2 linked regions of the Elephas maximus indicus genome follow. The protein of the gene in region 2 interacts with the protein of the main gene of each other region in a biochemical or structural test. Links are inferred from orthologs where the notes say so. Each region holds a gene or a part of one and is shown on either strand. Other genes may lie near its edges. The genes, in order: BCL3 and NFKB2.

Region 1 (11,215 bases), on a different chromosome or scaffold from region 2:
TTATCCCATATTAATGACAACAAGCATTTAAAAAGAATATCTTCCATTCACAGAGAGCTTACTCGGTGCCAGGCCTGCCTGCACCAACATGTGTTAATTCATTTGATCCTCGAAACAACCCCAAGAGGAAGGCATTGGTTTCGCCCCCATTTTATAGATGAGGAAACTAAAATTCAAAGAGGGTAAGTCACTTGCCCAAGGCCACACAGCTGGTAAGTGGCAGAGCTGGGATTCCCACTCAGACAATCAGAGAGCATCATTGGAAGGTGAGGACAACGAGACCCAGTGTTGTGTGGCCTCACTGTCCACCATCACTTCCTTGGGACTCCTCTGCCCCACAGCTGACCTTCCCAGATACCTCTGGGGCAGATGATGGTCCCCCTTTCCCTGAGTCACCCCCGTCTGATCGAAGCACTGAGTGGGCCGAGCGGGAGAGGGGGAGCGGAGGGTGCCCAACCTTCCTAGAGAGAATGTTGCAATCCTCTGACTCAGCGTCGTGCGTGCAGACCCAGCTTGAGGGAGAAAGGGGAAGATTAAGTCTTGGCCCAGGTCCCAGATGGGTTGGTCCCACTTGGTGCCTGGGGATGGGGCAGCTGCCAAGGCCCCAGGGCGGGGAGGAACCAGGAGGTTCAGGCCATGCTCCAGGAACCTGGCCTGCATTCACCCCTGGGGGTGGGGTAGGTAGGGCTACCTCAGGGGCAGAGCAGTGGGTAGATCCAGGGTAGACTTCCAGTCCTAGGCCAGATGGCAGGCTGTGTACTCTGAGCAAGTCCCTCCCCATCTAGGCTCAGAGCCTCTGGTTTCCTCTGCCTGCAGAATTCATTTGCTCTCCGTGAGCCTCCCTGGACCCTGAAGTCTAACTCTACTCCCTCCTGCTGCAATGTGTCCCACTTTCCACCTGCTGGACCCTGCCTGTGACTGGAGGCAGCAGAGGAGCCCTACAGAAAGTGTGGACCATTCTAAACCCTGCAGGTGCCCTTGGGCACTTAACTTTGCTCCTCCATGCCTCTGTTTCCCCACCTAAACTATTCCTTCCCACGGAGTAACAAAACAATTGCTGCTGAGTCAATTTCAACTCATGGCAACCCCAGGTGTGTCAGAGTAGAACTGTGCTCCATAGGGTCTTCTTTTCCTTTCTTACTTTTTTTTTTTGACACTTAAAAATGTTTATTATTTCACTTAAAATACCAACAATACACACATTACATGTTAAAATAAATTAACATTTTTTTCTTGAGGAGTAATTATTTTCCAAAACTAAAAAAATAAACTAGTAGTAAGAGTGCCATTGTTTTACACTTTTACAAGTCTTTCTAAAGTCTGGCTTAACAGAGTACAGAAGGACTCTCTAATTGGCTGCTGCATTCAGTCTGTTACAATATGTTGTTTTGCTTTTCATGAAGTTCGCAGTGGCTGATTTTTTAGACGTAGATCACCAGGCCCTTCTTCTAAGGCACCTCTGGGAGGACTCGCACCTCCTAACTTTCATTTAGAATTAGAGCTGGGGAGAAGTTTCCTGAATACAACCAAACACTTTGAGGGACAGAGTAGCCAGGGCAGAGGTCTGGGGACTGTGGTTTCAGGGGACATCTAGGTCAACTGGCATAACAAAGGGTATTAAGACAACGTTCTGCATCCCACTTTGGTGAGTGGCATCTGGGGTCTTAAAAGCTAGCAAGTGGCCATCTAAGATGCATCAATTTGTCCCAGTTCACCTGGAGCAAAGGAGAATGAAGAACACCAAATACACAAGGAAAATATGAGCCCAAGAGACAGAAAGGGCCACATAAGCCAGACTCCATCAGCCTGAGACCAGAAGAACTAGATGGTGCTACCAATGACTGCCTTGACAGGGAACACAACAGGGAATCCCTGATGGAGCAAGAGAAAAGTGGGATGCAGACCTCAAATTCTAGTAAAAAGACCAGACTTAATGGTCTGCCTGGGACTGGAGGGACCCCAGAGGTCATGATCCCCAGACTCTCCGTTAGTCCAACATTGAAACCATTCCCAAAGCCAGCTCCTCAGACAAAGATTAGACTGGATTGTAATCCATAATATGATACTGGTGAGGAGTGTGCTTCTTAGCTCAAGTAGACACATGAGACTATGTGGGCAGCTCCTGTCTGGAGATGAGATGAGAAAGCAGAGGGGACAGGAGCTGGTAAATGGACACAGGAAATACAAGGTGGAGAGGAGTGAGCTGTCACATTGTAGGAGAGCAACTAGGGTCATATAACAATGTGTGTGTAAGTTTTTATATGACAGACTGACTTGAATTGTAAACTTTCACTTAAAAGCATAATCTAAAAAAAAAAAATTAGGGTTACACAGGCCTGGCTTCAAATCTCGGCTTTTCCAGTTCCTCACTGTGTGACCCTGGGCAATGATTTCACTTCTCTGTGCCTCAGTCCCCCTTTCTGCAAATGAGATTTTAGGGAATTATAGGTGAATTAATTCTCAAGGTGTTGAGAGGAGCCAGTAAGCCTAGCTCAGCCCACCCATGGTTAATGGACCCTTCTTGTCTCATCTCTGGGTGGGAAAGGGTGACAAGGAAGCCCTGGCCTGATGGATAAGGTGAGGATTAAGGAGGTGGTATGGAGACAGGAATGAACACGATTCATTCAGTCAGTCAGTCCACAAAATTCTCAACCTGCTCAGCAACCCCGTGAGGCATGAGCTGTTGTCACCAACTATTCAAGGCACAAGGAAGGCACAGACAGGGGAAGCCACCTGCCCAAGGTCACATAGCCAGCGTATGGCAGAGCCAAAACCAAACCAAACCCATTGCCATCAAGTCAATTCCAATTCATAGTGACTGTATAGGACAGGGTAGAACTTTCCCAGTAGGGTTCCCAAGGCTATCACCTTTACAGAAGCAGACTGCCACATCTTTCTCCCATGGAGCTGCTAGTGGGTTCGAACACATGGACCTTTCGGTTAGTAGCCAAGTGCTTAACCATTGCACCATCAGGGCTCCTAGGAAGCAACTGAGCCAGGGCTGAAATCCAAGTCTCTAAACCTAGCATGGTGAATCCCAATTTCCCTAATGAAATGGGTCCTGCTGCTGAAAACATGGGTTAACTGATAACAATGATAATAATAACCATAGCAATACTAGCAGCTACACTGCACTGAACACTTTCTACACATCAGGCCCTGGAGGACAAAAGCATATTTTCTCAGTTTGGTCCATTTTATAGATGAGGAAGCTGAGGCTCCATGAGTTTAAACAACTGCCTGGAAATCACAAAGCACTGACAGAAGGAGGCACGGCTTGTACCTAGTTCTCAGTTTGAAGCAAGGCAGGACAAGACCCAGGAATTGAGCCGGATGGGAACTTAGGGTCTGATCAGCTCTACTTTCTCCTCTTAGAAGGGGAAACTGAGGTCAGAGGACAAGAAAGCCCCAGGCCCATAGGCTTCTAGACAGGACTTTATTACCCTCTCAGGATTTTAATCAGGTAAGATCTTGGCCTTTCCTTCCCCAGGAAGGGTTAGAGTAGGAGGAGGGGAGAAGAGGCAGTAGGGCGGAGGAGAAGACAGAAACAGGTACAAGGGGAAGCCTGCGTGAGGGAAAGTGGTTAGATTCCAAGCAGACTTCCGGGTCTTTTCTGGGAAGTTTCCGGGACTCATCCAGGGGCTGCCCCAGCCAGCAGGGGAGGTGGGGGCTCCAGAGCATGAAGCCCAGAGAGGGGTGCAAGGAGTGAGGGGGGAAAAGAGGGGGTGACCATCCTGGTTCTGCATCCTCCATTCCCGACACTGGCAGGAGGTGGCTGTGGAAGCTGGGACTTTCCTGAGCAGCAGAAGATTCTGGGAAATTAGACAGTTGCAGGGCGGGGCTGACTCCCAGTCTCCCTTCCCTTCCCTTCCCTCCCCTTGGTCCCTGCCGGTTCTCCAGGCACACCTCTCTTTCCCTCTGCCCCAAGGAGGCCCTCCTCAAATTGCTCCTCCTCCCTCAGACCAAGCCCTCAACCCTCAAGCCTTCTCTCTCACACTGCTCCTCCTCCCTCCCTTAGACCTTGTCCCCCTTCCTCAGATCCTCATCTCCTCCCTCAGTCTCTTACCTCCTCCCTCAGACCCTCACCTCTTCCTTCAGACTCTTATCTCCTTCCTCAGACCCTTACCTCTTCTTTCACACCCTCTCCTTCTCCCTGAAGGCCTGTCCTCTCTCAGATGTTCATCTTCTCCCTCAGACTCTCACCTCCTCTCTCAGATTCTCACATCCTTCCTCAGACCCTCTCCCTCAGCCCTGTTCCCCTCCCTCAGAACCACACCTCCATTATACCTTCTCCCCTCCCTCAAACCCTCACTTCCTTCCTCGGACTATCACCTCCACACCACCTCCCTCAAATCTTCACCTCCTTCCTCAGACCGTCTCCCTTAGACCATCTGCCTCTCTCAGACCTGTCTTTCTCCTTCAGGCCCTCCTCCCTCAGACCCTTCTATCCCTCACCCTCTCTATCTCTAACCCTCTGGGCCAAGTGCTGAAACTCCCAACCCCAGTCCTACCTGGGCCCAGGCCCTTTGCACCACCTGCCACAGGGTGCTGGGGAGCAGGAGGAACCTGGGTGTCTTTCTAACCGTAACTCTTAGGGTCACCACCTTCACAAGCTCTGCCTCCCTGAACCTCGGCTTCCCTTTCCGTACAATGAGGCAGTGTCCCACACCACATCCCTCCCGTGTGTTTGAGGATTCCCAGAGGAGAGGACTGGGTGGGCTGGGAAGGTGGGCAGGGGATAGACTTCCCTTGTTGTAGCCCCCACAATACCGGGAGGCAGGGGTTGACGTCAGCCCCATTTTCCAGAAGAAGTTGAGACTCAGGAGAAGGGGTGGACTGTCTGAAGTCACACCTCAGACAGAGAAATAACACCAGACACACCAACAGGCCAGAGACAGAGTGACCAAGGGGGTGAGGGGGTAGTCCGACTTTGTGTCTATGTCTTTGTCTCTGGGTTGCTCTCTCTCCCACTGGGAGGCAATTCCAAGAGGCCCTGGAGTCACTCACTTTCCCCTCCCATTTCCTCTGAGCAAGGAATGAGATGGGATTTGAACCCAGATCTGTGAGCCCAGATGCTTCACCCTATATGCGCTGGGAGGCATATAGAGAGGACAGATCAGGCAAAGGGTGAAGCTTCCCTCTGCCTACATCTGAGCCCACATCCCAGGTTAACCATCCACTGGGGTGAGGCCCGTCCTGGCCAAAGTCCCTTCCCAGCGCCGGGGCCCACACCCACTTTCACGGTCCTAGGGAGATGCTTCCGGGGAGACAGAGACAAGATCAGGCAGAGATGGAGACCCAGACAGTGCCATAGGGTCGCAAAAGACAGAGACAAAAGAGACGTGGGCCGGGCCAGTGACAATGTGAGGGGACAAGGGAGGCCAGGGATAGAGGTACGGGGTTGACAGAACCAGGGAGACCCCGCATGCCGCCTTGGCAGATCCGGGGCGCAGCCCCCATCCCCTGCCCCCCTGGGTCCGCAAGCCCTCCCCCTCTGCCTCCCTGGCCTCATTGACCGGGACTCAACCCCAGCGGCGGCCCCGCCCCCAGGGAAATCCGGGAAAGCCCCGGCCGCCGAGCCCCTCCCCCGGGCGGGGCGAGAGGAGGAAGGGACAGGGAGGGGACAGGAGAGGAGACGAGGAAGGGGCTGCCTCTGTCCCCTCCCTCCCCGGCAGCTCTGGCGGGTCTGAGTCATGCCCCCGACCCGCTCGGCTGGTTCCCCACGAACCAGCCCCTCCCCGGTGGGAGGGGAAAGTGGGGGCACTGAGGGGAGTCAGACTGCCTCTCCCCTCCTGGGCCTAGTCCTTGGTCGCTTTGTCTCTGGCCTACTGGTCTCTTCTTATTTCTCGATCTCTCTCTTCCTCTGTCTTCTTTGATCTCCATGTCTCTCTCTGTGTGCACCTGAGATTCTTCGAGAACACACCCTGTGCCCCCTGGGCCGGGCTAGGTTCAGGGACCCCGCACGGAGGAACACATTTAATGTTTCTCCATGCACCCCACGCCACCCCAGTCACAATTGGTACGTGGGGGCAGGGGAGGGTCAAGGAAGAGTTCCTGAGTGCGTGCTGAGCTCCAGCCCCTGCCCTGGGTGCGCCTTTTCACTCCCACAAAGGAGGAAACGGCTGGGAGAGGGAAGTGCCTGGTCAAGGTCAGCCAGGGAGGAAGTGGGAGTCAAGATTCGAACTTGCGTCCTAGCGACACCAGGGCTTCTTGCAATTGCTTTCCAGGGGGAGACAGAGACAGAGATAAAAACCGAGAGGCAGTTTTTTTTTTTTTTTAGCGAGATAGTACGCGACACAAAGGGACTATAGAGAGAGATAGAGATACAAAAAAAAAAGTGACAGACTGAGACTCTGAGACACCTATTAACAGGGAAGAGAATCATTGACAGAGACTCGGAGAGGCCGAGATATAGAGACATAGCCAGAGAGACAAAAACACAGAGCCAGACATTGAGAGGCCCGCAGCCGCAGGGCTGGGGGTACCTTCTAACCCCAGCCTCCTGCGAGGCGGAGTCGCCGGGACGCCGGGGCCGAGAGGGGGCGGGCGCGGGGCGCGGCGAGGGCGGGGCGCGCGGCGGCTGCACCGCGGGGCGGCGGGAGCGCAGCGGGTCCAGGAAACCCCTGGGACGGACGGGTGGCCCCGGGGGGGCCGGGGGCGGGGAGGCGGGCGGCCGGCACCGCCCCGGCCGACAAAAGTCCCTTCAGTTCAGCCGGCGGCAGGGGAAGTCCCGGCGCTCGGAGAAACCAACCCTCCGGTGCCGCCGAGCAGAGCCGCGCTCCGGCCGCCCGTTCGGCCGCCGTCGCCGGCGGCCCCATGCCCCGATGCCCCTCGGGGGCCATGGACGAGGGGCCCGTGGACCTGCGCACCCGGCCCAAGGCCGCTGGACCCCCTGGCGCAGCGCTGCCGCTCCGCAAGCGCCCGCTGCGCGCGCCCTCCCCGGAGCCCGCCGCCCCCCAAGCAGCCGCGGGCCCTGGGGTCCCCCCGGAGTCCCTCTGTTGCGGCCCCGAGGCGCCAGTCGTCCCTGGACCCCCCCACGGCCTGCACCGGCCGGAGGCGCTTTACTACCAGGGTGAGTGGACCCGGCGAATCAGGGCCAGGTGGGGGTTGCACAGGGCGTAGGGTCGTCCCTAGGGCCGTGTGCAGAGCTCAGGACAAGTATATGGAGTCCCGGGGAGCTGGGGGACAGGAGTACAGAACCCAAAGTTCCAGGGACACAGATATGGAGGTCCCAGGGAGCTGGGGGGCAGGGGAGCTGGGGTGGCACAGATATGGGGAGCCAAGGTATAGTGCTTAGCAATACATATATGGGGGTCTCATATGGGGGTCTTGGGGAGTCAGAAGGTAGAGTCTGGGGTCCCAGGGACACAGATAGATATGACGGTCCCATAACTACAAAATCTCAAGAACTCAGATAATCTAAGGTTATGAGGAGTCAGGGCCTGGACCTAAGAAACTTCGGTTCCTGGGATCCAGATATGTGGGGTCAAAAGCAATCTAGGGAACAGAGACTGGGGTTCTAAGGAGGCAGATATTAGAGGTCCTGGGATGTCAAAATTTCAGGTACCCAGATATCAGAAGACATGAGGAATTAGGATAGCTGAGTTTGGGGTTCTGAGTACCCCACTATCTGGGATCCCAGGGATCCAAGGAAACACCGGAATTCCAGGGACCCAGATACTGGAGGTTCAAGGAGCCAGAGGGACAGAGAACCAGGGTTCTGGACACCCAGTTATGTGTGGTCACAAGTGATCAGGGTCCCATCTGGGTCACAAGGGCAGGGTGTGGGTACAGAGGGTTCTTGGAATGGGCGGCAGGACTGAGGAATTCTGGGACTCAAGGATTTAGGGCCAGGATGAGAGATTCAGGGGTCTCCAGAAAAAGGCACCAGAGACCTAAGGCCTGGTATTGGATATGCAGGGACCTGGAAGCTTGGGGGTCCAGGAATGGAGGGTCCCCAAGGATAAGGGAATATCAGAGAAGGTCATGCGCCAATCTCCCCATCCCGTCTGCATTACCCACTGTGCCCATGTCACCATTCCCCAAGTGACCCCAAAAGCTGCAGAGAGCCCAGATTTGCCCCCTCCCCAAACCTTAGCCAAGTTTCTGCACCTTCCACTCCATCAGAGTGCAACAGATAAAGAGGCTCAAGCTGTGCATCAGAAAGCCTGGCACTGCCTCCCCACCCTTTCCCATTCCCTGGGTGTGAACCTGGGCCTCAGTTTTTCCCATCTGTGCAATGGGTGGATGTGGATTAGACTGCTGCCATGGATAAGTCGGAATTGACTTGAAGGCAACAGGTTTGTTTTTTTATGGTCCCTTCCAACCATTGAATCTGGACAGGCTTCTGATGCCACCCCCTCTTACCCTCTGACCCTCTCCTCTCCTCTCCCCAAACCTTCTACACATACACCCCACACTCTTTGCCCAGTTCTCCATCCATTCCTTATCTCTCTTGGCCATAAATTCACTTAGCAAACAGGCCCTGGCGTTTCCCTGCTGGATGATGTTGGGGGATTGGTCCACACCCTTAAGGGATTCTTTTTCTAGCAGGAGATGAGATTCAGTTAAATGACAATGAGGGTGACCAAGACTGGGGGTGTTATGGAAGCCAGAAGGGAGGGATGGGGAAAGGGGGTTTGTCTTGGCCTTGTCCTGGGACTTGAGGACCCAGTATGAGATTGCAGAAAAACTGGAGATGAAAGTCAGACTGCACTGCAAAGCCAAGAGATGGGGAGTGGGTTAAGGGTCTCTGGGCTTGGCCTCACCTACATCTTTTCTCTGTTCCCCACTACCCAGGACCTTTACTACCCCTGTACTCCACCCCAACCATGGGCTCCCCCTTTCCACTGCTAAGCTTGCCTGCCCCCCTGTACCCCATCATGTGCTCAGTGGAACACCCCCTGTCAGCCGACATCGCCATGGCCACCCGTGCAGATGAGGACGGAGACACGTAAGTGACAGTCCCCCACTAATGGAGGGCAGGTAGGGAGGCCAGCCCTCCACCCACCTCACCCACAACACACGGGCACTCAGCTTGGGCTTTTGCATCACCAGGACCTGAGTTAGAATCCCATCTCCACTGCTAGCTGGGTGACCTTGAGCAAGGCCCTTCCCCTCTCTGAGCCTCAGTTTCCTCTAAAAAATGGGTACCCTGACAGCAGTTCCTCCTTAGAACTGTTTTTGGAATCAGAGGCTTCCAATTTTTTTATCACAACTCAAAAGTAAGAAATGCATTTCAGTGATTGATTTATTACATGAATTATACATGTAAAGCTCCTAGCACTGGGCCTGGTATATTGTAAGTGCTCAATGTTGTTAGTTGCCATCGACTTGATTCCAACTCATGTGTGCAGAGCAGAACTGCTCCATTGGATTTTCAAGGCCGTGACCTTTTGGAAGCAGACCACCGGGTCTGTCTTCCAAGTTGCCTCTGGGTGGGTTTGAACCACCAACCTTTTGGCTAGTAGTCAAGCACTTAATGGTTTGTACCACCTGGGGACTCCTTATGTGCTCAATAAGTGTATATTATTATTACTGCTACTTTATATCAAATCCAGCATGCCCATAATACATACCCACAGATACTTGAACTAAAAATTGCACAAAACAAAACAATATTCATCCAAACTCCATAGGATCTACTTTGATGTTTTCTATCCTAGTCTGTTTCATTGTTTTTCTGCTGGCCACAATCCACTAAATTAATTTGAAGACCCCCTAAATTTCACAACCCCCATGCTTTTTCACCTGCAATTGGAAGAAAGTTCCAGCTTTCATGAGTCTGCTGTGCAATCCTGCAGGGAGAATTTAGCCCTATACCATCAATACACTTGACCATCATGATTACTGGTATTCTGTCCACCTAGGTTTGAATCTCAGCTGGCCACTTTCTCACCCCCCTGTGCCTCAGTTTCTCCATTTAAAAAAAAAAAAACCCAGGAACCATAAATGTGTGAGGATCTCTGTGAGGAAGAAATGAGATTATTTCTAGAAACTGCCCATCTGGGAATTGGTTTTGGGGACTGGAAACCACACATAGGCTGAACAGGCCCATTTCTGCAGGATGGAAGACCACCGCTGGTCTACTGGGTGACTTCACCTCCCTGAGCCTCAGTTTCCCTGTCTGGAAATCAGGACTCATAACAGCCCCTCTCGCAATTAGGATTCAGTGCAATGGTGTACACATATGGTGCAGAGAACAGGGCCTGGCAACACAGTAACCACTCAATACGTGGGAGTTGGTGTTGACTGAACAGAGGTCCCAGTAGTCGTGGGTAGTTATGGGCCATCCCTGTGAGGCGAAGCAGGAGAAAGTGTTGGAGATCTAAAGAGCTCAACAAAACCTTGTTCCCCGCCTAGGCTCAGTGCCCCTGGGGGTCATCTTGTATCTGCCCCCAGGGGTGACCTGTTGTGGCCTGTGAAAGCAGTCTCCAGCCCTAGACCCGCGCCCCACCCGCCCTCCCCCCAACGCAAACACTTCTGCCTCAGCTGCCTGTTGGGGGAAATCCCTTCCCGCAGAACTTGACCGCAGCCCAGCTGCTCTGCCTCCCCCCACGTCAGCACCCCGTCACTCACTAGCAACCTTCCCCCTCCTGACTCTCCCTCAAACCTTAACCCCTTCCGCTGGGGCCGAGACTTTACCGGAACGGGCAGCTGTCCCAGCCCCAGACTGCGCCTTGGCCCCACTTAAAGCTTGGGGAGGGGGGCGGCGGGGGAGGAGAGGGCTGGGACCTTGTCTGAGTCCCCCAGTTAGCAATGGTTGGGACGCTGGACTTCTAGGTCTTCAGGGGAACAAGAGTCTCACGGTATCTGAACCCCCCTCCCCCCCCCAGAGGTCAGGGGACATGTTGTGAATCCCAGAGAGCAGAGGTTGGAGTGCTGTACTCCTGGATCCCCAAGGAGGTTAAGGAACATGATGACGAACTCCGAGGGGGCCTAGAGGCAGGGCCCAGTGCAAATGATTGTGTAGGATCCCTTGTTCAAAAAGAATTTCAAGGCAGCTGCAGCAGAGCATTAAAACAAGCGTGGGCCCTTCTAAGCGTGGGGCCCTGTGCAAACTGCACAGATCGCATTCCTGTGAAGGCGGCCCTGCTAGGGGCCTGGAAGTCTGTGACCCCAAAGGGGCAACGATTGGGGCACTGCATTCCTGGGTCCCCAAGGGGACAAGGAACACGGTAGAGGGCAGCTTAGGGACCCAGAGCTCGGAGGGTCC
Region 2 (11,950 bases):
GGGCTGTAGGCCAAGGAGGAAGGGAAAAAGCCGAGGCTGCCACCTGTGGGTACAGGCAGGGCTGTGGGGAAGGGGCACCAACCAGAGCTCCAGGCTTCTTTCCCCAGCTTCTCTTCATCTCTCCCTCCTCCATCCCTCTTCCCACCACCAGCACTCCCTCACCTCCTCCTCCAGCTCCTCCATAACCTCCAGCAGAGCCTCCAGAGCCTCCACCCATGTGGGAGCCACCCCCGAAGGGCTGGGAGAAGGCGGGCAAGGCCTTCCTCCGCTTCCGCTGCACCTCCTCCTTGTCTGAAAAAAAAAATAAAAGGACAGGGGGAAATGGGATGTTATAACCCAATTCATAGGCCACGTCTCCAGAGCCCTTCCCCAAGCTTGGTTAGGGCTCGTCCCCAAAAAGCCTTCAGCTAGAGCCCTCAGACTGAACTCTCCCCACCCTTAACTTAGCTCATGGGTCCCCTAGTCTAGCTCTTGGAGCCCTCCAGCCCAGCTCCCAGTCCCACTAGCTCAGCTCTACCTTCTACCAGTGGGTAATAGGTGAACTGTTTGGAGTCAGAGACATCCCCCCCACGCTTGCGTTTCAGTTGGAGGAACACGGTGACAGGACGCTCAATCTTCATCTTGTGATAGGGGGGTGTCCGGAACACAATGGCATACTGGGGAAGGGACATACAGGGTGTCAGTGAGGCCTTCGCCTAATTCAGCCCCGTGCCTCAGTCCTGGCCTCCCTGTGTACCCCCCAGTCCTCGCTCCCTGTATACCTGTTTGTGAACATCTGTGGGAGAGAAGTCCCCGAAGGCCTGCCATCCATTCTCGTCATCCTCGTAGAAACGAACCTCAATGTCATCTAAAGAGAAGACTGAAACCTGGCCACAGCTCCAGGTAGAGTCTCCAGGGCTACTTGTCCTGGAGCTACCCTGCCTGCCCGGCCCTGGCCCTCCATCTTGATACCCAGTATCCCAAGCTCCCAGCCTGAGCTCCAGCCTCACCTTTTTGCACCTTGTCACAAAGAAGATAAACTTCGTCTCCACCCCGCACAGAGCCAGCTGTCTTGTCCATTCTCGAAATCTTCAGATTCGAGGCCCCAGGAGACTCTAGGGAACAAAGCAGGGATTAGTTCAGATGATATAATAGCCATGGCCTGTTTAGGGAGCCAGGTGTTTTGTATTCATTAACTGCAAGATGCAGGAATCGCATATCCCCATTTACCAAAAACAGAAAAGACACTCAGAGGGGAGAAATGACTTGTTCAATGTCACTCAGCTCAAACGTGGTTCAGGCCAGGTTGAAACTCAGGTTTATTTGCCTCCATAGCTGGAGGTTGTCCCTATGTTCCCTTGGCCACCTAGGTCCAGGCCCTCAGGCAGTCAGGATACTCACTGCTGTCATGGATGGGGTGGGAGATAACTGGCTTCAGGGGCAAAGAAAAGGAGCCATCACTGGCTCGAAGGAAGGCAGAGAAGCGCAGCCGCACGATACTCAAATCCATCACCTTCTTCAGTTCCTTGGCCTCCTGCTCTAGCTCCCTCCGCTCAGCATCTGGGGAGTGGGCACATGTGTGATCCCTGGGCGTTTCCTCCTTCCTACCCTGCTTCCTTGCTCACCCATGGCCACCTCCCATTACTCCCACCCATTACCAGTGAGGCCTTGGGGCCTGGAGCGGAGTCGTTGCCTCTGAAGTTTCTGTGTCATAATCTCCATCATGTTCTTCTTGGTCACATGCAATACTCCCAAGTTGTTAAACCTGGAGGATGGGGAGGGGAGTCAGAGGCCTTTGCCCATGCAGTTCTTTCCTCCTGAAGCACACTCCCCACTGTCAGGGCTCAGCTTAGCTCAGCTCTACTTCTTCAAGGAAGGTTTCCTCCTTTTTCCCGGAGGCTTCAGGATCTGGGGCCAACCTAAGTCTTTCCTCTTGGTCAGATGCTAAACTCCCAGAGGTGGGTTGGGGCCCAGGACTGGCAGGCAGTGAGGGGGCACACAAGTGGGGGCCAGGGGTAAGGGACACCTACTGGGCAGTCATGTCCTTGGGCCCCACAGACACAGTGCAGACCCCCAGCTCCGAGCATTGCTTGCCCACTAGGCTGTGGGCGTGGGCGCGAGGTGGGTCACTGTGTGTTACCAGGTCCACCTCGATCTTGGCTGGTCCCTCGTAGTTACAGATCTGGGAGGGGCAAGGGCTGTCAGTGATGCTACTGGACATGTTGTCCACTAACCCACCCTCCAGCACCACCTTGGCTCACCTTGACTGTAGGATAGGTCTTCCGGCCTTTCTCGCTGGAGGCACCTGGCAGTCCTCCGTGGGAGGGTCCTTCGCAGCCATAGCGAAATCGGAAGCCTCGCTGAAGGTCCAGGGGCAGAGAAACAGTGTGATCAGGAGAGACCACTCTGGCCAGCCACACTCCTGACCAGCACTGACCATGGTGACCAGCAGTATCTGCCCTAAACCACGATCACACCACTGTGATCAGCAGTGGTCAACCATCCCAATCTTCAGTGGCCTCCCTGGGCAGTGATCTCACATGGCTACACAACTACAACTACTCACTCTCTTGCAAGGCTGCAGCCATCCCGCACCATACCCTCGGGTCACTCACCTGCTTAGGCTGCTCCACGATCACCAGGTAGGGGCCATCAGCTGGGGACAGAGGGACCTTCTGAGCCAGGCTCCATGAGCCCCTCCCCCAGGCAGAGGGCACATGGTCCTCTTTCCCTACTCCCTCTCCGACTAGGGCGGTTAGGGAGCCTGCTAACCTGTCTCTGGGGCCGGCTCCTTGGGCTCCACAATGGCAGGGTTGAATTTGAAATCATATTCCATGATGCCATCCAGAGCCTAGTTTGGAGAGATGGGGGGGAGGGGCGGCCGATTCAGAGCTTCCCCGGAGCCCTTCTCCTCCTGGCTCTAAACCCTCTCTCTAGACCCATAAGAACGCGCCTTTGGAAGCAGAATTTGCAGACAGGCAGGCAGAGGATGGCCTGGAGGGGCATTAGGGTAGGCACTCTGAGATCTGGGAGCAGGACAGATGGAGGAGGCGGCAGATAGATGCCTGGCAGGTTGAGATCAGCGCAGAGGCAGACAGACAGCTGCAGGGGAGAGACGGGGTTCCGGCAACACGCAAGCAGACAGGGAGGTAGGGAGGTAGCCGGCCAGCGTCCGGGCCAGGCGGCGTGACTCACTGGGTCGTAGCAACTGTCCATGTCTCTGGGCTGGGCCCGGCTCTGTCTATAGCTTCAGCCGGGTTCTGCTTCCTAGAGTTTCAGGTGCTCGCTTTGGGGGCAGGGGAACGGCGGGAGAGCTGGATCAGGCCAGGGGTGGGCGGGAGAGGGGGGTCCCAGGTTTGGGGGAGGGTCCGATCTCCTCCAGCCGCCCGTCCGAGTGCGGCGGGCGAGATCCGGTGGAGGGCGAGATCCGAAGCTGGGCTAGGCCGGGGAAGGGGCAGGAAAGTTAGAGCAGCTTAGGAAAGTCCCGAAAATACCAGGGGGAGGCGGGGCCGGAGGGGGCGGGCCTGGAAATGACGCCACTGGCCCCGCCCCCGCGGCGGGAGGGGCGCGAGGCCCCGGCCCCGCTGTTGGGACCCGCAGCCTCTCACCCGGCTGGGGGTGTGGAGAGCCAGGGAAGCCCTCCAGGGCAGGCGCCAGGGACCTGAGGGTCTTTCACGGCCGGCGGAGGCTCCCAGTCCGCGACCAGGCCCGCCTCCCATCCCCCTCCCCTCCCACGGCCTGGAGCAGCAGCCTTGGGATTTTCTGCCAGGAGGGAGGCCACGGCTGATTCACCCTGGGGGCTTTTGGGGGACATTCCTGCTGTAGGGAGGACCCCACTCTGAATGGTCTGTAGGCGGGGTTCTTCCCAGCGGGGGGCCCCGGGGTTCTGCCCTGAGAGTGGAACTCTGGGGACCGCAGCGGGAGGCGTCTTCTCCTTGGGGACAGGCTCCCCTTCCCTCTCCCCGAAACGTCTCAACGGCTGTTGATTCTCACACCGCACTGGCTCTGGGTGCTGAGGAGACGGGCAGACCCCTGCACTCTTCCCACCCCAATCCCACAGGTGTGGGTCTCCATCACAGGTATACAAGTGTGTTTTGGCCCGTGTGCTCGGGTGCATGCTGTGTGTGCACGGCGTCAATATGCGTGTGCAAGTGAATGTGTCTGTGGGCAGGTAAGCGTCCCTAAGCTTCTCTGAGTGGGCACATGACTAAGCATGTCTTGCTATGTCGGCACAGGTGAGCAGATCTCTGAGCTTGTGCGTGGAGGGCGTGGGTCCCAGCAACGGTGCAAGGGTGAGCGGGTCTGCCTGTGCATGTGTGTGCGAGTCCCGGTGCATGGACGCTGCTTGCGTACGCCAGCATTAGAGCAGGTGAATGTTCAGGTCCGCGTGTCTCCGTACAAGGATGTGGCTGTATATCCGTGTGTCTCGTTCGTGTGTCTGCTCTGGGTGTGCGCCTATCTCTAGCCCTGGGGCTCAGTCAGTTAAAGGCCCTCCTCCCGCCTTTCCTCGGGTCCGGGCCACCCAAGGGTGTGAACTCGGTCACTCACAGAGGCGGCGGCTCCGGTTCCTGCTCCTCTCCCGGCCCGACCCGCCGCGGACGGGTCGTGACACCGCTCCAGCCACCAGGGCTCCAGCCACCGGGGTTCCAGCCGGGAAAGCCCCTTTTCCGCCCCCCGGAGGGGGGAATTCCCATGACGTTTCTGTACGTCACGCACCATGCCCTTTTTCATTGGCCGAAAGTTTAACACCCGGACTCTCGCGTCCAATCGGGAGCGATTCAGGAGCGCCCTCTAGAGGGCGAAGATTGACGTTGGGCTGGGAGAATGGCGTGGTATTGACGGTCCGCAAGACTGGGCTCTGGTCGGGGATTAGCCCGAGGCCGGACCGGTTGGCCGAGCACCAGCCACAGCTCCAACACCGGCCAAGGGCCGGCCCGGGTCCCCTCGCCCGCCCGGACCTGCCCGGGCTTCTGTTGTGCCTAACGCTTGACCACATCTGAAGCCGGGGAAGCCCAGGGGGAAGCCGTCGGCCTCAGCTCTCCAGTCTCCCGCCCGGAGCGGGACCCCGCTGCCGGGAAGAGTTAGGGGAAGAGGAAAAAGCTGATCTTGCGGTCGGTCCCGGGGCGCCATCTGGCGGCCCCTTTAGGCACCGGAGCCTCAAGGAGACTAACCTTTCTTGCTCAGTCTCTTTACTCAGCCTCCGGCTCTTTTGGCCCCTTACTAAGTGGCAGGTTCACATGGGGCCAGGCTTTCAGGGCGACCTGAGCTATGGAGCTCTGCGCGCAGGAAGGAGAATATTTTTTGGGAGATTCAGGACTCGCCCTCCCATCACAATCTGGAATATTAGGATTGAAGAGGTGTCCAAAGTGTCAATAACTTGAACTTCTTCTGAGGGAGGAAATCACCTTATATACGTCCCAACTTCTGCTTGAACACCGTAGTAGCAGCAGGGACAGTACAGTATTTCCCAAAGCACTGACTTTGTAGCTGGACATCTCTGGTTGGTAGAGGCTCTCTTTCGGAGGCGCCCTGAGTAATCTCCCTCCTGAAGTCATCCTTTCAGGTTTCTCCTGCAACTTGCTGCTGACCTTCTTAAGGAACTGAGGGCCTGCACTAGCACTGAATAAAGGGAGGCTCTTATGGCCCTTGGTTTGGGCCATTTCCTGTTATTTGTCTCTCCTCTTCGTCTTGTCCACAAATGGAATGTGCCAGGTACTGTGTTAAGGTACTTTATTATAAGTTCTTATTCTTCTTCCCAACAACTCTAGGAGGTAAATATTACCTTTACTGATGGAAAAAATGAAGGCTCAGAGAAGTAAACTCAACCACACAGGTAGAAAGGAACAGAGCCAGGATACAAACCCAGTTTGTTGACTCCAGGCCCAAGTTCTTTCCCCTAAATACATATAAAACAAAGCAGTCTTTTCCACCCTACTATAGGGTTGTTATGAGTCGGAATTGACTCCACGGCAATGGGTTTTTTTGGTTTGGTGGGCCTCTCTAAGAGGAGCCCTGGTGGTGCAGTGGTTAAGAGCTTGGCTGCTAACCAAAAGGTGAGCAGTTTGAATCAACCAACCACTCCCTGGAAACGCTATGGGACAGTTCTACTCTGTCCTATAGGGTCACTATGAGTCAGCAGCAACAGGTTTGGTTTGGTTTTTGGTGGTCCTCTCAGTGGACGAAAGATGTGGCAGTCCGCTTCTGTAAAGATTTACAGCCTTGGAAACCCTATGGGGAAGTTCTACTCTGTCCTACAGGATCACTATGAGTCGGAACGGACTTGATGGCAGTGGATTTGGTTTTTGGTTTGGTGGGCCTCTCAAGCAAGTATCATAAGATGCTGTCAAATAATTTGGTAAAATCCAGGTACATTGTCTACCAAATTCTCCTGGCAATTTATATTCTTAACTCTTATACTAAAATGGAATGAGGTTAGGTTGGTATATGCCTACTTCGTGAACCTGTGCTGGCTGCCATTGATACAACCATCCTTTCAAAGTGCTCAAATACCACCTGCAGAAATGGGCACAAATCCTTCCAGTCCCACATCTCTAAAAGCGCTCCTAAGGTCTGAGTGGTTTTAGTTACAAGATTCTGAGCTGTAATTTATCTGGAGATTAAAAAAAAAAAAAAAAAAAGACTTTATTATAGAACTTTTCTAACATATAAAAAGTACAGAGAATAGTATAATGAACCCCCATGTACCCATCAGCAGCTCCAATAATTCTCAACCCATGTAGACGTAGGGATTTTAATAACTCAAAGTAGTTTATTATCTGTTGCTATAGCCTCACCTAAATGGACTTAAGAAACTGCTTCATTATGTTTGTTCCACAATCTTCAACATAAAAATCATCTCTGTTTCTGCACTCAGCTCTAGCACAACACCTGGCCCAGAGCAGATGCACCATAAATTCACTCTATTCATTCACCATCAGATAGGGCCCACCCTACAAAACAACATCCCTGCTTACAGAGAGCTTGCATTCTAGTAGGGGAGACAGACAAAAATCAAATAGATGTGTGCTGGTGACAGGTACTACGGAGAAAAATAAAGCAGGTAAGGGGATAGCGACAAGGGTTTTCTATACAGCAGCCAGGGAAAGACTCTCTGATGAGGTAACATTTGAACAGGAACTTGAAACAAGTGAGGGAGGCCGCCGTGTGGATATCTGGGGGAAGGGCAGGCCGCCGTGTGGGTATCTGGGGGAAGGGCAGGCCGCCGTGTGGGTATCTGGGGGAAGGGCAGGCCGCCGTGTGGGTATCTGGGGGAAGGGCAGGCCGCCGTGTGGGTATCTGGGGGAAGGGCAGGCCGCCGTGTGGGTATCTGGGGGAAGGGCAGGCCGCCGTGTGGGTATCTGGGGGAAGGGCAGGCCGCCGTGTGGGTATCTGGGGGAAGGGCAGGCCGCCGTGTGGGTATCTGGGGGAAGGGCAGGCCGCCGTGTGGGTATCTGGGGGAAGGGCAGGCCGCCGTGTGGGTATCTGGGGGAAGGGCAGGCCGCCGTGTGGGTATCTGGGGGAAGGGCAGGCCGCCGTGTGGATTTCTGGGGGAAGGGCAGGCCGCCGTGTGGGTATCTGGGGGAAGGGCAGGCCGCCGTGTGGGTATCTGGGGGAAGGGCAGGCCGCCGTGTGGGTATCTGGGGGAAGGGCAGGCCGCCGTGTGGATTTCTGGGGGAAGGGCAGGCCGCCGTGTGGATATCTGGGGGAAGGGCAGGCCGCCGTGTGGATTTCTGGGGGAAGGGCAGGCCGCCGTGTGGGTATCTGGGGGAAGGGCAGGCCGCCGTGTGGATATCTGGGGGAAGGGCAGGCCGCCGTGTGGATTTCTGGGGGAAGGGCAGGCCGCCGTGTGGATATCTGGGGGAAGGGCAGGCCGCCGTGTGGATATCTGGGGGAAGGGCAGGCCGCCGTGTGGATATCTGGGGGAAGGGCAGGCCGCCGTGTGGATTTCTGGGGGAAGGGCAGGCCGCCGTGTGGGTATCTGGGGGAAGGGCAGGCCGCCGTGTGGGTATCTGGGGGAAGGGCAGGCCGCCGTGTGGGTATCTGGGGGAAGGGCAGGCCGCCGTGTGGGTATCTGGGGGAAGGGCAGGCCGCCGTGTGGGTATCTGGGGGAAGGGCAGGCCGCCGTGTGGGTATCTGGGGGAAGGGCAGGCCGCCGTGTGGGTATCTGGGGGAAGGGCAGGCCGCCGTGTGGGTATCTGGGGGAAGGGCAGGCCGCCGTGTGGGTATCTGGGGGAAGGGCAGGCCGCCGTGTGGGTATCTGGGGGAAGGGCAGGCCGCCGTGTGGGTATCTGGGGGAAGGGCAGGCCGCCGTGTGGGTATCTGGGGGAAGGGCAGGCCGCCGTGTGGGTATCTGGGGGAAGGGCAGGCCGCCGTGTGGGTATCTGGGGGAAGGGCAGGCCGCCGTGTGGGTATCTGGGGGAAGGGCAGGCCGCCGTGTGGATTTCTGGGGGAAGGGCAGGCCGCCGTGTGGGTATCTGGGGGAAGGGCAGGCCGCCGTGTGGGTATCTGGGGGAAGGGCAGGCCGCCGTGTGGGTATCTGGGGGAAGGGCAGGCCGCCGTGTGGGTATCTGGGGGAAGGGCAGGCCGCCGTGTGGGTATCTGGGGGAAGGGCAGGCCGCCGTGTGGGTATCTGGGGGAAGGGCAGGCCGCCGTGTGGGTATCTGGGGGAAGGGCAGGCCGCCGTGTGGGTATCTGGGGGAAGGGCAGGCCGCCGTGTGGATATCTGGGGGAAGGGCAGGCCGCCGTGTGGGTATCTGGGGGAAGGGCAGGCCGCCGTGTGGGTATCTGGGGGAAGGGCAGGCCGCCGTGTGGATATCTGGGGGAAGGGCAGGCCGCCGTGTGGGTATCTGGGGGAAGGGCAGGCCGCCGTGTGGGTATCTGGGGGAAGGGCAGGCCGCCGTGTGGATATCTGGGGGAAGGGCATTCTAGGTGATGGAACAGCAACTGCAATAGTCTGATATGAATGTGTTTGGCTTATTTGAGGAACAGCAAGGAGGTCAGGTAGGTGGAATGAAGTAAATGTTTTATTCTGAATGAGACGGAATGCTATTGGAGGGTTTTGTACAGTGGCGTGAAAATGATGTGACATGTTTTAAAAGGCTTCGTTTGGCTGCCGTGTGGAGAGTAGAGTGTAGAGGACTAGGATGACCAAGGGAGACCAGGAGTTCAAAAAATAGTGGCTTGGATGGTGAGAGTGGTGAGAAGTGGTCAGACGCTGAACAGATTCGAAAGATGGAAACAACAAGCGTTGCTGAGGGTTTGGATGTAGGATGTAAAAAAAAGAGGGGAGGTTTTGGCAGAAGAATCGGGAAGAATGGAATTGCACTTTCCTGGTACAGGGCAGAACAGAAGAGGAAGAGACTTGTAGGGGTAATCAAGAATTTTTCTCTTTACATTTGTTATATTTGAGATGCCCATGAGGCATGCAAATGGGGATGTTGAGGGACGAGTGGATATGAGTCTGGGGTTGAGAGGAGTCAGGCTGGAGATGCAAAGTTGGGAATTGGATATAATCAGGGTAATGGATAGTATTCAGAGCCTCGGCAGTGGATGGGATCACCGAGAGAGTGAGCATAGAGGATTTGAGGACTGAGTCCTGGGCCATTCTCATGTTCAGAGGTCATGAACAGAGCCAACATGGGAAATCGAAAAGGCGTGGTCAGTGAGGTAGAAAAAAACGAGTTTCTCAGAAGCCAAATGAAGAATATTTCAAGGAGGGAGTGATCAACTGTTTACTTGAACTAAAGCTACTTCTCCACAAGTGGAGCCCAGGGGTTGAGGGGTTCTGCTTCCTCATGGAGACTTGTCTCCCAAGCAGTGAGCCCTGAACAAAGGTAAATATCCACAGGCTCTAATAACCACATTTTTTGTTGTTGTTTTTTTTTTTGGATGGGCATATGCCCACTGTGGCTCATTCTTATGGGCTAAAAAAATTCACGTTTATTCTTGGTTATGTGCACCTCTTTCCAATTTTCATAGACTACTAAACTGAGCTTAGTAGGCAATAGTCTGTACAGCCAGTGGTTTCTTCAGAGCCCCAACCCTTATATTTCTCATTAGAAGCTACAGAAAATGTAACTCAGAGGGTTTCTGCACCACCACCACCATTATTTTTGAACTGAGGAAATGTTATAAGAAAGACTGTGATGTTTGGAGTGAGAGAGACCTGGGTTTGAGACCCAACTCCCTCAATTCCCAGTGACCTGACCTCTCTGAACTTGTTTCCTCATCTGTAAGAAAAGTAAGTACCTTTAAAGGTTGCTTGAGCATTGCACTTAATACTGAGACATAATGGTGCTCTACAAATGTCAATTCTCCATGTGAGGGTCTTAGGTCATGGAGCCATCTCTAGCTTTCCTCTTGACTTTCTGACACCTGGTCTCCTCAAGTTCTCAGGGGAGACAGATGTGATTATGATCAGCATTTCCCTCTAGCTACACTTATCACTTTCCCTCAAGGTTTCCGTCAGTTCCATGTCACCAAGCCATTCTTCCTTGTCGGTCAGGTCAGAATTAAGGTCTGAGTATTAGTTCCTCTTGTAGCTTCCTCTGACTTCTAAGAGACAACACTGTCAACAACACAAGTCATGCATGTGTCAGCTGCTCTTTTTGTAACAGAAGGAGACTTCCGGCAAATGTTTTTCTTTGCTACCCAGAGGAGAGAGGGTCAGTTTGCAATCTCTCTAGCTTCTTTCCTAATTTTTGCAGACCAGCTGAGGGACATAGGCTTGTCGTATTCTTTTGTTCATAGCTTGGCTGCAGCCAACGCTGTTTTCCTCAGAGGGAAACCCCCCTGGAAGCGTCTAAAGGCAGAGCCTGTGGGGCTCTGGACAGAGACACTACAGCTGAGGCCAAGGACTCTAGTGTCTACGTGGCTGTAGATCACAGCCCCTAGCTCTACCCCCTGCCCCTAGCCTTATCCCCTGTTCCTCCTAATTTTTCCCAGGGTCGGGGTCAGGCAAGGGTTCTGGTTAGTGTGGAAACTGAGCATGGTCTGGACTACTTGGGGAAGAAGGGAGGGAAGAGGGAGAATGTAGTCTAGGAGCTTTAGGTCTCATCTCTTAGTATTTTTTCCACATCAGGCTGCTCCTATTTCCATGGGGCCCTTTTCCACCCCTGAGGGAGGTGCTTTCAGGCATCCAAATTCCCAGGAACACCCACATGGAAGTGCTGATCAAAGAGAAGCCTTAGGTTCTGAATGATCATACAGCCAGTTGGGCCCCAGTGGGGAGACTGAGTGCCCCTAAATCTCCACGAGGGAAGCCAGCTGGTAGTACAAAGAGGGTACCATTGCCCACCCCCTGAGAGGGGGAAGCCAAGATGATGCTTCATGTGTGAAGGCTTAATACAAAACATTCTGCTTCCCAACCACAGCACCTCAGCCCTGCCCACTCCTCGCAGGGGCCACACTGCCTGCCCTACGTACACCCCTACCTATCTTACCCTCACCCACAGGGAAAGAAGGGGAGGAGCCCTCTAATCATGTATCATCTCAGTAATTGGAATGGATGAGGGTTATGGGGCTGGAAGAAATTGTTCCTTCTCTGAGGCTAAAATGAATGTCTTACGCCCAGAAGCACACAATCACAGCTGTGAGCAAGATGGTCCCCACTCCTAAGCCCCATGGGCTTCTTTGTATACCTGGACCATGAGACACACTGCAGGGAAAGCTTCTAAGTAACTGCAGCTCAGCTCTGACTCATCTTCCCTCTGACCCCAGCCCAGGTTGTCTTGGGTGTCTCCCTTGAGCAGTTATGGCGAGGACACTGCCCAAGCCCCTGGCACCCTGGTAATAAGGGTACACTGCTGTGGTGGTGGTAGGGGTGGCAGCACTGATGAAGGCCTCCTGATGCCAGTCCTGACATCTGGCTGGCTGACTGATGGCCAGGGGCCATGTGGCCAGACCACTGGTAGGCTCAGCCTCTCTTTACCTCTGTTCATGCAAGGCCCAAGCTCTGGGGATCGCAGTGACA

What was found.
Region 1: the proteins of NFKB2 (region 2) and BCL3 form a complex in vitro, tested with the Homo sapiens proteins (2 studies listed by BioGRID). The link is inferred for Elephas maximus indicus from reciprocal best matches to the Homo sapiens genes NFKB2 and BCL3.

Annotation. Positions count from the first base shown.
Region 1 is NC_064829.1:104,957,047-104,968,261, reverse strand, and holds the start of BCL3 (B-cell lymphoma 3 protein), read left to right. Parts: upstream 1-6,621; 5' UTR 6,622-6,816; coding exon 6,817-7,072; intron 7,073-8,799; coding exon 8,800-8,953; intron 8,954-11,215. UniProt on the Homo sapiens protein: Contributes to the regulation of transcriptional activation of NF-kappa-B target genes. In the cytoplasm, inhibits the nuclear translocation of the NF-kappa-B p50 subunit.
Region 2 is NC_064834.1:53,957,554-53,969,503, reverse strand, and holds the start of NFKB2 (nuclear factor NF-kappa-B p100 subunit), read right to left. Parts: upstream 4,641-11,950; 5' UTR 4,528-4,640; intron 3,418-4,527; exon of another isoform or gene 3,266-3,417; 5' UTR 3,196-3,265; coding exon 3,175-3,195; intron 2,831-3,174; coding exon 2,752-2,830; intron 2,636-2,751; coding exon 2,595-2,635; intron 2,340-2,594; coding exon 2,241-2,339; intron 2,162-2,240; coding exon 2,010-2,161; intron 1,745-2,009; coding exon 1,638-1,744; intron 1,540-1,637; coding exon 1,381-1,539; intron 1,095-1,380; coding exon 990-1,094; intron 848-989; coding exon 762-847; intron 657-761; coding exon 518-656; intron 292-517; coding exon 163-291; intron 44-162; coding exon 1-43. UniProt on the Homo sapiens protein: NF-kappa-B is a pleiotropic transcription factor present in almost all cell types and is the endpoint of a series of signal transduction events that are initiated by a vast array of stimuli related to many biological processes such as inflammation, immunity, differentiation, cell growth, tumorigenesis and apoptosis.